2 linked regions of the Astyanax mexicanus genome follow. The protein of the gene in region 1 purifies or fractionates together with the protein of each later gene. This does not show direct contact. Links are inferred from orthologs where the notes say so. Each region holds a gene or a part of one and is shown on either strand. Other genes may lie near its edges.

What was found.
Region 2: the proteins of akap11 (region 1) and cAMP-dependent protein kinase type II-beta regulatory subunit purify together in Homo sapiens (affinity purification with mass spectrometry; 3 studies listed by BioGRID and IntAct, counting the BioPlex papers as one, with this or other methods). This does not show direct contact. The link is inferred for Astyanax mexicanus from reciprocal best matches to the Homo sapiens genes AKAP11 and PRKAR2B.

What each region holds. Positions count from the first base shown.
Region 1 is NC_064418.1:28,086,999-28,094,582, reverse strand, and holds the start of akap11 (A-kinase anchor protein 11), read right to left. Parts: upstream 3,329-7,584; 5' UTR 3,225-3,328; intron 1-3,224. UniProt on the Homo sapiens protein: Binds to type II regulatory subunits of protein kinase A and anchors/targets them.
Region 2 is NC_064409.1:59,203,638-59,211,735, forward strand, and holds the start of cAMP-dependent protein kinase type II-beta regulatory subunit, read left to right. Parts: upstream 1-5,026; 5' UTR 5,027-5,329; coding exon 5,330-5,591; intron 5,592-8,098. UniProt on the Homo sapiens protein: Regulatory subunit of the cAMP-dependent protein kinases involved in cAMP signaling in cells. Type II regulatory chains mediate membrane association by binding to anchoring proteins, including the MAP2 kinase.

The sequences.
Region 1 (7,584 bases):
GCAACCTAGCAAGTTGAAACTTTGCATGCAGAATCTATCATACAGCCTCTAAAGGATGTTCAAAGGGCAACTTAATCAATCAACATGGCTGAACACCATCAGCCAATCAGCATTCAGCAGACATTTTGGCAGGCTGAATGTTGCCCAATCTGGATGATATTTGGCAGTTATGTTCAGGTGGAGACACTGTAGTGACCTGCAAAGTGCTGAAACAATCCGCCCACTGGGGGGCGCTGTTCCAAAAAAACGAGTATATGTCAATCATGCTGTACTATTTTGACATCTAATTGTTTTTGCCATATTTAGTACAGTGGCTCTGACAAATTTCTCAATACAACTATGTTTAAAAAGTGCTTTGTTCATTCATAATTGCTAATTGTTTGAAAATAGCTATATTGAAACTACTCTCTGGATATTTGGCCTATCACCTCCATTTCAGTCTTGCTGCACACTGTAGAGTCTCTAGGTAAATGTTCATTAAAAACATTTGTGAAAATTTCACATACAATACTCTCCAGGCATCAAGCAATCTGTTGTGCTAGTTGGTGCTTGATGAAGCGCCATTTAATTCAGAACTAGATTTATAATAACTTCGTAATTACGTCATATCAGAACATTCACTCCTTTGTGTTAATTTAAACTTGTTTGGTCAAACATTTCAGCTTGTTCTGCAAAGGTTCAAAGGTCAATCTGAATACCACTTTGTGAACATTCTGGTTGAAGCCACCTGATCAATACCAATAACATGTAGACACCTTTTGACTAGTTCTAACTCACTTAATGAATATCCTACAAAGTTCACTAGATTTACATGTGAATTTAAGCACTGATCAGGTTGAAAGGCCTCTGCTCAACATTAATAACAGGTGAAAAACTTGATAATTTCTAAATGTGACAGGGCATCTCCAATCATATTAGACCTTCTTACACATCACCATTCAATGCTCCAGTAGGCACCATTGTGCAAGTTGGTGCTTGAACCCGATGATTGCCGCTTGCGGCTATATTTTCTGTTATGTTATCAGTCTATTACAAATAGTTTTATAATAAGGCCTGAGCTCTTATTATACATAATTATATAATTGGAACATCTGCTTCAGGTGGCAGACTTTTTTCCTGAAAAGCAAACAGTCCAAATATGAACACATTGCTGTCAACAGACAATAAAACAATGAGGCACGCTGTCAGACACCTCCACTTCAGGTAGTTTTGAAAAGAAAAAAAAAAAATCAATAATATAGATTATGTACTTTTTCAACAACTATGCTCTGAAAACCCCCAAAAATCTTATTTTAATTAAGTCCTGATTAAACAAACATGGTAACACATGCTGGATAAATACATACATAAACAGAGACACACACAAATTTGACCATATTTATATAAATGTTTTACATATCATGTATAAAAATATATGACAGTAATTACAGTAATGACAGTTTTAAATAAAATTAATTGGCAAAACTATTGCACCACTTGTTAATCAGGTAAAGAGTTAAAGAGTTGTGCTACATGCACTTTGCACTGTGAACACTGCGGTGGTAAGAATTTCATAAGAACTTTGGTCCTAAAATGGGTCACACCAATGCCTTTCGAAGTAAATGTGTGTGGGTGAGTAAAGATACGCAGCAAAATGAGAAGCAAAACCACAAAAACAGATAAAAGGATAGGGGAAACTTTATTTTAGCACTTGAAGTTCACTAAGAACACACTCTCCTTCAGAAAGGAGGGGGTTGAGTGACAGCTCGCTAATTGTAATAATGCCAATGAGGAAATGCGGCCCAAGCATAAAGAGGACTGATGCTTAAATATAAGCCTGATGTTTCTAAACCTGTTATTCCACTAACCAAAAAGAAAGAAACACACAATCAACCAGAATCAATGGTGTACGGTGTAATCTGGGGAGCGGTGTGATGAATCAAGGGAATGGTGTAATTAATCAAGTAAACGATGTGATAAATCAGGTAACGGTGCAGTAAATCAGGGAAACAGTGTGATTAATCAGGGGAATGGTGTGGTAAATCAAGGGAACGGTGCGATAAATCAGAGAAACAGTGTGATTAATCAGGAAAATGGTGTGATAAATAAAGGGAACAGTGTGATAACTCAGGGGAACGGTGCATTAAATCAGGGAACTGTATAATATATCAAGGAAATGGTGCAATAAATCAGGTAACTGAGTAATAAATTAAGAAAATGGTGCAATAAATCAAAGTATGGAGTGATAAATCAAGGGAACAGTGTGATAAATTAAGGGAACGGTGTGATAAATCAAGGGAACGGTGTGATAAATCAAAGGAACGGTGTGATAAATCAAAGGAACGGTGAATAATCAAGGGAACGGTGTGATAAATCAAGGGAACGGTGTGATAAATCAGGGGAATGGTGTAATAAATAAAAAGAACCGTGTGATAAATCAAGGGAACGTTTTTGTTTCTAAACATTATTTTTCCACCTTCATCCAATAGGGGCTCCATAGATTCCAATTTCACATTTATTTACCATTTCCTTTTTCATTATTCCTATAAAGGGTCTCTATAAGGAGGCAACCCCTGTCCCTTATTTATCAAATCATATAAATTCTTCATTTTTTTATGCGCTTTAATCCACGATATTAACCATAAACCCTGCTGGGCCCTCTGTCCTCCCACTGCTGTGGGGCTACAGGCCTCTGCACAGAACTGACAGCTCTCCCACAACATGCTAAAGAGCTAACGTGACCTAAATTAAACCCTCTTGCTGCTGTTCTGATATAAATAAGGGGATGATATGATCATGTCTGGGTTAAAGTGTTACTAAACTGAGCCTGCTGCTGGTTGTTTTGTTCGCTCAGAGCTCAGGCCTGACAGTGAGAGCAGCGGGGCTGTTAGCCTGGTTAGCAGCTGCGCTGTTTTTTATTACCGGGCAGAATTCAGTCTTTTTGAAAGGATCCTCTCTCTGAACTCCTCAGAACACACTCTGAAACCCTGTCTGATACAGGGCCGTGCGGCGCGCGGGGCGGGTTAGCTGAGACAGATGTGATTTCGACGCAGATTATTCCTAAACCTGCAGCTAACCCCGAGCTCTGAGCAGCGCAGCGCCTCACACATAACAACAACACCGAGACAGCCGCTCTCACTCACACACACTGTGTAAACACACAAGACACTAAACACACTGTTTAAACGCGCTGTATCACAGTAACTGTCCGCTCACACCTCCACCACCTTAACCGCCCCTCTCACCTTTAGTTGTCGGACCCCCGCAGTGAGCCGTTAGCTGTAGCCCTGCTGCTCATGAAAACAAGCCGCACAGGCCGGAGCAGCCGAGCACCGAGCGGAGGATCTGACAGCGCCGAGCCCAGAGTCATCGATGGAGGAGGCTGTAGAGCTGATCTCTGTATTTTCTCTGATTTTACACTCAGTTTATTGCGTTTCACATCACTGTTTATACAGTCCTGGAAAAAAATAAGAGATCAATTCAGTTTCTGAATCAGTTTCTCTGATTTTGCTATTTATAGGTATATGTTTGATTAAAATGAATATTGCTGTTTTATTCTATAAACTACAGACAACATTTCTTCCAAATTCCAAATACAAATATTGTCATTTTAACAATATTAGGTGTGGGAACAAAATAATAAAGTCCTCGCCATATAAGTTGCCCCCATGACTCAATTACCTAATTCCCACGCTTTAATAGGTCGTCCCTATGACTCTATTATCTAGTTGCAGCGCATTAATAAGTCGTCCCTTCAACTTAATCATCTTGTTCCAACGCTTTAATAAGCTTGTTTAATAATTCTATTTTCCCCACTATGAGGAGCACTTAAAATCCTTTAACTTTTTTTAATTCATTAATTTCCCCAGTTGTCCCCACAACTTAATTATTTCGTGGCAATTTGTTTTGTACACAATGTCACCTTACTGGCTCTGTACCTTAGGCACGTTAACACAAAATTAATGTTTATTGATTAATTTTAGCTATTAATAAAAATCTTTCTATGGATGTCAGTATAAAAAGTATTTGTTCAGGTTTTGTCCTGTCTTTGTTTCGATTGATCATCAAATTTCCACATAATTTAAAGAACATCTTAAAACTGGCTTTTATTTGCACAAGTAAACAAGTACTTAAATATTAGATTTGTTTTAATACCATTGCCATTTTAAAATGACAGCATGCAATTAAAACTGGAGTTAGCAGAGGATGGTTTCAATCCATCGACCTTTGGGTTTACACCCCAAATGGGACCCGATCTCACAATCCCTAGCTTAGGAGGCTTGCCTTGTGCTTTGGCTCAACCTAAACTGTGTCAGCAATAGATACTTGTTTCAAAAAGATTCAAATTGCTTCCCACGCTGCATGCAATTAAAACTGGACTTAGCAGAGGATGGTTTCGATCCATCGACCTCTGGGTTATAGGCCCAGCACGCTTCCGCTGCGCCACTTTCAAATCTACAAAATAAAAAAATGACTTATTTACCCATATTATCACATCCTTGTCCTGTCTCTTGTCAGCCTCCATGTTTTTGTTCCCCTCCTTTGTTTGTTGTCCCAGCCATGTGCTCATAGCACTCTGTGTCTCTCCTTGTATCCGCCCATGTCTTCAGTGCTCCCACCTGTGTTCATTTGTAGTTCCGCCCCCTCATTACCTGTTTCCAGGTGTTTCCTGTATTCCCCATGTGTATTTAAGCCCCTTTGTTTTCAGTGTTGGGTTGTCTGGTCTTGTGCATGTTCTATGTCAGTCAGATTGCTGATTCTTTGTTTTTTTCTGTTTTTAGTTTATTCTGTGTTTTCTCTAGTAGTCCTGTCTGTTCATGTATCTTGTTTTGAGTTTAGTTTTGGTTTATTGTTTGTTTTCTTGTAAATAAAGTACCTGCGTTAACGTCCTCCCTGCTGCAATACCTGACACATATATACATATATACAAAATAACCAGAGGCTTGACATTGCTCACCACATTAATGTATAAACCCTAGTAGCTATATTTTTTTTTACCAGTAAATAAGATGTTAGCTCCAATTTTTACTTTCATTTTTAACTGCTCTCTCAGACTGTGTATAGTTCCCAAATGCTTTAAGAACGCTATCATTATTCCCATGCCTAAAACTAACAAAATCTCTCATCTTAATGATTATAGACCAATTGCTCTCACATCTGTTGTTATGAAATCTTTTGAACAGATTGTACTCTCATACCTGAAAGAACTCTCTTCTCCTTCCATGGACAGTTATCAGTTTGCATACCGGGCCAATAGATCTGTTGATGATACAGTCAACCTGGCCCTTCATAGGATTATGCAACATCTGGAATCCCCTAATACATATGCTCGGATATTGTTCATTGACTTTAGTTCGGCCTTTAATACTATTAATCCCGTCAATCTTTTCAATAAACTTAGGGATATGGACATTGATATTGCTCTATGTTACTGGATCCACAATTTTTTGTCAAAAAGAACGCAGAGAGTCAGGATGGGTAACCTCTCTTCCCAAACTCTAACCCTTAGTACAGGAGCCCCCCAGGGCTGTGTTCTTTCACCGTGGTTATTCTCACTCTACACAAACACCCTCACATCTACCCACAGTTCAGTTTCTATTCTCAAATATGCAGATGACACAACAATAATTGGTCTTATCACCAACAATAACGAACATCACTATCGTGAACAGGTTGCCCAAGCAGTCACTTGGTGCCAAAATAACAATTTACAGCTTAACATATTAAAAACTCTGATTTTTCTCGCACACCCATATACAAAATACCCATCTCTATTTTTTCGCAACCCATTATCATCACTGATTCATTCAAATTTCTGGGAACCCATATCAGCAACACACTTAAATGGAAACTACACTCACACCAACTCTACAAAAAAGCCAATAAAAGGCTATTCTTTCTCAGACAACTAAAAAAATTCGGAGTTAGGAAAAATATCCTTCTTCAGTTTTACACTGCCATCATTCAAAGCATACTCACCTCATCCATAACAGTGTGGTATGGGAATTTGGATACCCATTCACGCAAAAAACTGCAAAGTATAGTAGATAAATCATCAAAAATCACAGGGCACATCCTCCCATCCATTGACACTTTATATTACAGACGCATCACACAACGAGCAATAAAAATCACCTCAGACCCCTCCCATCCTGCATATCATCTATTTACACTTATGCCTTCTGGAAGACGTTACAGGTCACTGTCAACCAAATCTGTCAGATTTAAAAATAGTTTTTTCCCAACCGCTGTACGTTTACTAAACCAGGTTTAACTGTTTATGTATGTATTTGTCTATTCACTGTTGTTTGTTGTTTTGATACAGACAGAGATGTGAGCATGTTATGTTATGCTGTACCGTAAGTAAATTCCACCAACTTGTTGTGTGGTCATTAATAATAAATGAAATGAAAATGAAATGAAATGTTGCTAGTAATTAGGGTAAACTTTTCCATGTATACCATAATGCAATGCGGTGGGGCGGTGTCAGACTTCCAGCACAAACTAAGACTCTTTGTTGTTCGGTCATTCCCTAGTCTGTTCCATATGTAGTAAATGCTATATAGTAAATAGTGAATAAGGTAACAAGTGAACCATATGGGATTAAGGTCTGGAGACTGGCCACTCAGTGACCTTAATGTGCTTCTTTTTGAGACACTTCTTTGTTGCCTTGGCTGTATGTTTTGGGTCATTGTCTTGCTGTAAGACCCAGCCATGACCCATTTTTAATGTCCTGGCAGAGGGAAGTAGGTTATCACTTAGGATTTTATGGTACATGGCTCCGTCCGTTCTCCCACTGATGCGATGAAGTATCTGTGCCTGTGCGCTTAGCAAAGAAACACCCCCAAAACATAATAATAAGGTGTTTATTGGCAAACTTCAGATGGGCCTGCACATGTGCCTTCTGGAGCAGGGAGAGCTTGTGGGCACTGCAGTATTTTAATCCATTACGGCGTAATGTGTTACAATGGTTTTCTTTGTGACTGTGGTCCCAGCTGCCTTGAGATCATTAACAAGTTTCCCAGTGTAGTTTAAGGTTGATCTCTCACCTTCCTCATGATCAAGAATACCCCACAAGGTGAGATTTTGCATGGAGAGTTTGTTTAGATTAAAACAATAACACAATGGTGGTAGCATCATGCTCTGATGTTATGTTTCTGCCAGTGGAGCTGGTACCTAGTACAAAAAGAATGGAATAATGAAAAGCGAGAACAACCTCATAATTCTTTAGCATTAGCCTCCAACCATAAGCTAGATGTTATTCCTTGGACAGAACTGGGTGTTCTAACAGAACAATGACCACAAACATATATCAATCAAAGGTGGATGTGGAATGAATAAAGCAAACTAACAATAAGTTTTAAAAATCTGAAAACATGCAGACTGTGCCCAAAATTAGGTCTGGAAAACCAACAAATTGAACAGAACTCTACCAAGTCTGCCAAGTAGAGCGGTCAAATATCCAAACCAGTATTCTTCCAGATGTGTGTTTATGGCCACCGAAAGCATCTGGTCAGGGTGTAATTTGCTTTGGTACATTTAACCAAATATTAGGTGTGCTGTAAGTGTGTTTATTTCGGAAACCCCCAAAATATATACTTTTTA
Region 2 (8,098 bases), on another chromosome or scaffold:
ATATTTCACCGGAAGAAGAGAAGTAGGTAGACGAGAATCCAGGCTGTTGATACAAATAACAAAGAGCAATGGAGATAACAGACCCCCTTGTGGGACACCAGAAGGTATTGCATAGGGCTCAGATATACAAGAACCCCACTGAATCCTCTGCACTCTGTCAGTCAGATAACTCCTCACAGTGAGCCAAAGGGGGCGTCTGATAGCCATATTAGCAAGTAACTGTAGCAGTTGACAGTGCTTTATGGTATCAAATGCACGTGAGAAATCAACAAACACAGCATGAACATCCATCTTAGGTTGGTTGTTAAGTGCTTCATGCCAGCTTTGCAGAATCTGAATCAGAGCAGTCACAGTTGATCTTTTTGTCATGAAACCATGCTGGGAAGAGGCAATTTTAGAAGCTGTGTCCTCCAAAAGGACATCTCTCAGAATTCCTTCATATACTTTGCCAACACAGCTGACTAAGGATATCTGACGATAGTCAACTGGAAAGCTAGGCCTAGCTTTTTTAGGCACAGCTTTGACCAGTGCTTCTTTCCATGGCTTAGGAAATGTATTGTGTTGGATACATGCATTGAATATATCACACAGCACCGGTGCCAATTCTTCATGAAAGGACTTTAAAACCCAAGAGGGTATACCGTCAGGTCCAGCTGCCTTTCCCCCTTTGACTCTACGGAGTCTACCTTTGACCTGACCAATACTCAGAAAGGGTATGGAGCCATTCAAGAGTTTGTTGGAAATATCCTCCTCAGAGGGAGTAGTATGAGCCACTTGGTCCCATACTGACGTGAAGTGGTTGACCAAAATATCACATTCCTGCTGCAAAGACTCGGGATCTTGTGATATTATAGCCTGCTTAGAATTCTCTTTTCCCATTAGTGCTGAAATAGATTTGAACCACTGTTTAGAACTGGAAAACCGCAGTTCCTCCACCTCTTTCTTGTAGTACTCCTGCTTTGCTGTCTTGATCTTTTTTACGATGACTGATTGTAGATTTCTATAAGCAGTTTTATTTCCAGAGCAAAACTCAAACTGTCTCTTTTTTATCAGATGTTTAATTTGCACGGTCATCCACGGCTTGTCTTTATTAGTAATCGCCACCTTCTTTAGTGGGACAGCTGTATCCAGAATAGAGGAAATCATGGAGGAAAAAGCTTTAACCTTTACCTCTGGGTCTGAGGCCTCAAAAATGGGAGAGAAATCAGTAGTGTTCATGAGAAGGCCCAACTGCCTCAATGCCTCAGGAGTACGTTTACGGCATATGATGGACTGCGTGGGCTGAGAGGGCCATTCACCAGCATTCCACAAGATGGTTTGATGGTCAGAAGTGCCAACTGGGGGCAAGTGCACTGGTAGATCATACATGGAAGGAATGTTGGTAAAAATTGCATCAAGCTGGCTGGCCTTCCTTGTTGCCCCAGCCACCACTTGCTTCAATCCATGTCTGACACAGATGGTTTCGGACCTATACCTGTTAGTGTCCCCAAGAATGACAACTGCAGCATTCTGATATTGGCATTCAATATTCCCAAGACAACGATCAAGATATGATGTAATCAACGAATCTGGTTTTGCAGATGTTGAAGAGTGAGGTGGAATATATAACACTGCAGCAATGATGCAATTTAGCCCTCGAGGTAGACGCCTAGGTCGCATCCAGACCCATAAGGCTTCAAACTCCTCTTCCTCCAAGTGAGACAATCTCTTCTGTAAGATGTCACTCCTAGCATACAGGGCTACCCCCCCTCCCCTACTGCTCTCCCTATCCCGCCGATGTAAAGTATATCCAGGCAAAGTGATAATAGAGTCTGGAATGTCAGGATTCAACCAAGTTTCAGATACAGCAACAACAGCTGAATTGTTGTTTACTGATACCGTATACAACTCGTCACATTTGTGGCGCAGTGAGCGCACATTAGATAGAAGAAATCCAGGCAAAGATGGCTTTGGGTTACTATGAGCCATTTTTATGTGGACTAAGTTCCTAGGGTGAGAGAATCCAGTAGATGTAACCAATTTTTGACAAGTCAGCTCCGGCTTGGTGCCAATTACGGTTACACAGTCGTTTGGACGGTTCCCCACAATTGACTTTATTGGTCGAATAACATTCTTTCCAGCTTTCTTACCCCTAGGGCGAGATCTTAGTCTCAGTATTCCCAGATACTTAAGTATAGACTTAACATCCGAGGGCAAGGGTGTAGCAGATTTCCTTAAGCTTTTTAGAAAATAATTTTCAGTGCTATAATCAAACTGAGCCATTGTCCCAGAAACAGTGTTAAAAAAACAGTGTAAAGATCAGCAATGGTCTCCATGCAGAAGTAGGCCTTGTTTCCTAGAATCCATCCAAAATCTCCAAAAATAGATTACATCCAGGCATATTGGCATTCAAATTCCATACCCAGGCCTGCAAGGTTTTGACTTAATTGAGTATTTAAAAAAAACAAATTGAATTAAAACCAATATAAAATTCAACAATAGTCACCATGCAGCAGTAGGCCTTACTTCCTAGAATCCTTCCAAAATCTCCAAAAATAGATTACATCCAGACAAATAGGCCTTCAGTTTCCATACCCAGGCCTACACGTTTGACTTGATTATGTTAATAAAAACAAATTGTGATTAAAATCAGTATAAAATTCCAGCAATAGCCACCATCCAGATCCACCGTGAAGACCAAGTTTCCTAGAATCCATCCAACATCTTAGAAGGTGTATAACAGTCATTTTGCAGAATTTGTGCACCCTTTGTTCAATTTTAAATCTATTAAATAAATAAATAGATATACAATCTAAAAGAGTGCATTTATGGCAAAAAAGACATGAAATCTTAACTTTTTTTAATATCTAGAAAAGGATTTTTTATTTGGCTGTATTAAAAGAACGAAATATGTAGGAATGTCCACAACATTTCAGATTCTGATAATCTAATTGTAGTGTGTAAGTGGTTCACATGTGTCTTAAAATGTAAGGGATACTGAACCTTCGTTGGGCTGGTGGGACGACTTTATGCGGACAGAGGAAAATATCCCTTATTTTTAAATCTAAAACTTGACAGGTATGTATATAGTCTACATTTCTCTAGTTCAGGATCTAAACTGCTATTTAGGTCATTTTATCTAGACACTAAACTGCTGTATAGTCCATAACCCTCCAGGCTGCAATCTACATATTCATTTCAGACCATGGCTGTATAGTCCATATTCCTCCAGGATCTAAACTGTATATAGCACATATTCCTTCAGGTCCTAAACAACTATGTAACCCATAGTTCTACAGGGTATAAGCCACTATATGGTTTACATTCATCCAGGATCTAAACTGCTATATGTACAATTCATATTCCTTTCAGGATCTAAACTGCTATATAGTCCATATTCTCACTGTCTCTAAATGATTGTATAACCCATATCCATACGCCCTAAATTGCTGTAAAGTACATTCTACTTCAGGATCTAAACTGTTGTATAGTGCACATTCCTCTAGGATATAAAGTACTATACAGTCATATTTGTCCACATTACACATCTTTCCATGATCCAAACTGCTATACAGTCAATATTCCAGCCTAATACTTGTATATAGTTAATGCCCCTGCTGGTTGTTTACAGCTTTATTGTTCACATTCCACCATACACTAAACTGCTATATAGTCCATATTTCACCAGACACTAAACTGCTATATAGTCCATATTTCACCAGACACTAAACTGCTATATAGTCCATATTTCACCAGACACTAAACTGCTATATAGTCCATATTCCACCAGACTCTTAACTGCTATATAGTCCATAGTCCACCAGACTCTAAACTGATATATAGTCCATATTCCACCAGACTCTAAACTGCTATATAGTCTATATTGAACTCGAATTCAAACTGCTATATAGTCCATATTCCACCAGACACTACACTACTATATAGTCAATATTCCTCCAGGTTCTGAACTGCTATGAAGTCCATATTCCACCAGACTTTAAACTGCTATTTAGTCCATGTGTCACCAGACACTAAACTGCTATATAGTCCATATTGCACCAGACGATAAACTGCTATATAGCCCATATTTCTCCAGGTTATAAAGTGCAATATAGTCCATATCCCACAGACCTTAAACTGCTATATAGTCCATATTTCACCAGACTCTAAACTGCTATATAGTCCATATTTCACCAGATTCTAAACTGCTATATAGTCTATATTGGACCAGACTCTAAACTGCTATTTAGTCCATATTGGACATAAACTTCAAACTGCTATAGAGTTCATATTCCTCCAGAATCTAAACTGCTATATAGTCCATATTCCTCCAGACTCTAAACTGCTATATAGTCCATATTCCTCCAGACTTTAAACTGATATATACTCCATATTCCACAAGGCTTTAAACTGTGTCCCTATTACTCCTGGTGCCAAACTGTTATATATACAGTCCATATTTCTATACTTCTTATGAAATACTATATAGTCCATATTCCTCCAGACACTGAACTGCTGTATAGTACATTTTACTTCAGGCCATGAATGGCCGTGTAGTGCACATTCCTCCAGGCCCTAAAATGCTGCATATTCTCTATAGGTGAGACTTTAATGCACAGGCCAGACTGCTTTGTATAAGGTGGTGCATGTACAGCAGCAGCAGCAGCAGCAGCAGCAACAGCTCCAGTCTTTGTAGCAGATCATAATTAAAGGAACTCGTAGGTTTTGAGAGCTGAATTGGATTCACGGTAGTTGCCATACAGAGCTCCTCTTCCTCTGCTTCTGCTGCATACGCAAGCCACGGATGGTGGTTGCCATGGTTTCTCAGGTCACATGCGTGGGTTTGCTGTGCGTTATTCTCTTTTTTCACACACCCGTTTTGGAGAAGGCCACGCCCACTGTGCTACTGCTGTGCTACGATTGGTTGGGGACTCATGCTGGCGCTCAATCGCGGTGGGCAAGGGGCTCGCGAGGGCGGGGGTATAAGCTAATAGCCAGTCGGTGCAGAGGGGGCGGGGCTTGTGGGGAAGCGGGCGGAAAGCGAAATTAAACAATTAAATAAATAAACGGCGCGTTTCCTGTAGCCAGCAGCAAAAAGATGCGAGCTGTTGAATTTTCTGCCATTTTCGTGCCTCAAAATTAGGGACGCTGTCAGTACGGATGGAAGTCTCTGCCATGGAGTTGTGAGAGATCCTCTGCTCGTATGTGTGTGTTTGCTGGTTTTTTTGGCTGAGTTTCCAGTTCATCCAGCGCAGGTCACCGTTCATTTCAGCTGACGTTGCCAAGACGGTTGTGATCCCCGGTACTACTGCAGTTTTGCACCGCTTTCTCCGGAGCCCTGGTATCAGGAATGAGTATAGAAATCCCCGAGGGGTTGACGGAGCTTTTGCAGAGCTTTACCGTGGAGGTGCTGAGGAATCAACCCCGGGATCTGTTGGAGTTCGCCCTGCAGTATTTCACCCAGCTGAAGGAGAACGAGAGCAGGGGGGGCGCGTTTGGCAATGAGCAAAACTCGGCCGTGCGAGCAGGGAAAGCCGTCAACTTCATCGAGGAGGCCATGCAGATCGACTCGGAGAACGAAGAGGATGAGGATGACGATGAGGAATTCGTAGGTAACAGATTTGGGCTCATTGAAATATATTCATTTTTGGTTACCATTCATTCACACATGGGGGAATACTATAGTCTGCTATAGATCCAGCTAGGTAGTTAGCTAGCAGCTACAATATCCATAGAAGAGGGCTGCACAATATATCGTTTCAGCATCAGCATCGCATCAATGTGCGCATGCGCGGTAGTCACATCTCAGGACGTGCAATGTCACATAAGGCAAATTAGCTAAACCATACAGAACATGCACACAAGTTAATTGATAGCTACAAAAGTAAAGTGTGTATGTTATATGATATAGAGCTATCTTACTATGTTGGATATTTTATACTAGCTTTTTAACAGAGGCAAATACCATTCATTTTTACTGTAATTTTCAATAAACAGAGAGCATTAGCTAGTATTCATTCAATCATATCATAAAACGTTATAACTGCATTACTCATGACTTATGGAGAAATATGATTAAAATCTTAAAAAAATGAAATATCAGAGTATCACAATATATCATACTAGCTTTTCCCAGAGGCAGATTATATATTATATATTATAAAATGTATTTCACTGCAATCTTCAATATACCAGAGCGTTAGCTAGTATTTATTCAGTCATATCATGAGATCAGTCAGTACAACATATCAGTTAAATTTTCCGACCGTGTCTAGCTAAATTTGAAAATAGAAAATTGGGTATAAAACTTAATTGTTGCTTAATAGTTTTTCCATTCAGTATAGTGAAGACAAAATGTGTTTTTATCCACTTTTTTAAATTATCTCGTTTTAAATTTCAGCCTTTCGCAAACAGAACTTTGAGAAAAATGAAAAGTTGAATCTTCTCTCGTTTTCAGATTTGTCCAGTTTTGTATCTTACAACACAAATCTGATGGTATAATCCAACTTGCAAAATGCAAAAACTGAAAAATCAGAAAAAAAAAGAAAACTAAAATTGGAAAAATGGATGAAAACTTATTTCTTGTATACTGCACTACATAAAAACATTTAGTTTTTTACATCAAAATCTCTATTTTTGCATTTAGCCTAAAACAGCCAGAAAACGTGACCTGTATCACTCAGTGTGACTTATAGAGAAATATGATGAAAATTCGTGTATAAATATTAGATTATTACAATATCTAAAATATTTACAAGCTACATCAGGCAACAAAATATCAGAATGTCATTCATTCCCATTATCATTCATACAAACTCAATATCTAACACACTGACACGTGATTTGTAGCTAGCTAATGCTAGCTAGTTGGTCAGCTAGGCTAGCTAACTTAGCTAAATGTTGGCTCATTATAGACACAGGGTGATGCTCTAGCTTGCTTGCTAGCTAGCTAATTGTTAGCTATCTAACCTAAAGGTGTAGCTAACGTTAATAATGCAGCCATGCAGGATGGCACTGAATCACACAGGCTAGACTGCACAAATGGCCTCCGTCAGGCCTCATGGTGGGCGGCTGCTGATTTAATAATGATAGCTCGCTGTATGTCGACGCCGGTGAAAAGCACAGAGTGCACCTGGTTCCCGGTTTGGTGGTCGAGGGCGTAAAAAATATGATGAGTGGCAAATGCAGCGCTCACCGTGTTCACTCTGCAGAGGTGGTGGTGGTGGTGGTGGGGGAGGGGATGGAGGGAGGGAGGGATGGAGGGAGGGAGGGAGGGAGGGGACAGAAGAGAGAGAGAGAGACAGAGACAGAGGAGGGGGTGAAGGCTACTACAGGCAGCAGCAGCAGCAGCATCTCCTCTTCTAACACGCTGAACGATGCTGATCTCGCCCTGCATCTATTCTGCCTCAAAAGAGCTTTGGCCTTTAACGAATAAAGAGCCCACATTCATGAATCATGAGTTGAGGCCTTTTTGAGTGAATGAGCTTGCTAAAAGGCACCCAGCTCCTCCTGGCCTGCTCCTCTTTTTAGCCCAGCCCAGCCTCGTCCTGTGCTCATCCTGCTTTCCTTTTTCATTAGGAAACATTTGGCAGAACCTTAGACGCGTCCTTAGGCCTGTCACGATTAACTCATTATTTTTTGCGGAGAATATACAATAGCTATCAGTAGGGTTGTAAGAAAACCTCAATATCGCAGCATATCACAGTTTGTTGATGTAAAAATTGGTGGCAGACAGTGGTTCATTTCGTGTTGTGTTTAAGTCCCAACATTTTTTCCCTAAAATTTGATAAAAAGATCACAATATATCACCTTTGTATCATGGTGCATATCATATTCTTGCCAATACACAGCCTAACTTTTAATTAATAATAGTTTGGTAAATGCATGCTATTTGGGAATTTGTATTGCTTGCAAAAAAAAGTTCACAGTATATTTTAAATGCTGCTTATTTTAGCCAGTGCAACTAGCTAAACATAACTAATCTCCATTCTGACATGAAAAAAAACTACAAGTAAGCACAATGGAGGCAATTTGGAGGTCAGCAAAAACGCTTGAGGTAATTTACATACTTTATCATAACTATCATAACAGGCCTAACACTCCACAAGCAGCTCAAATA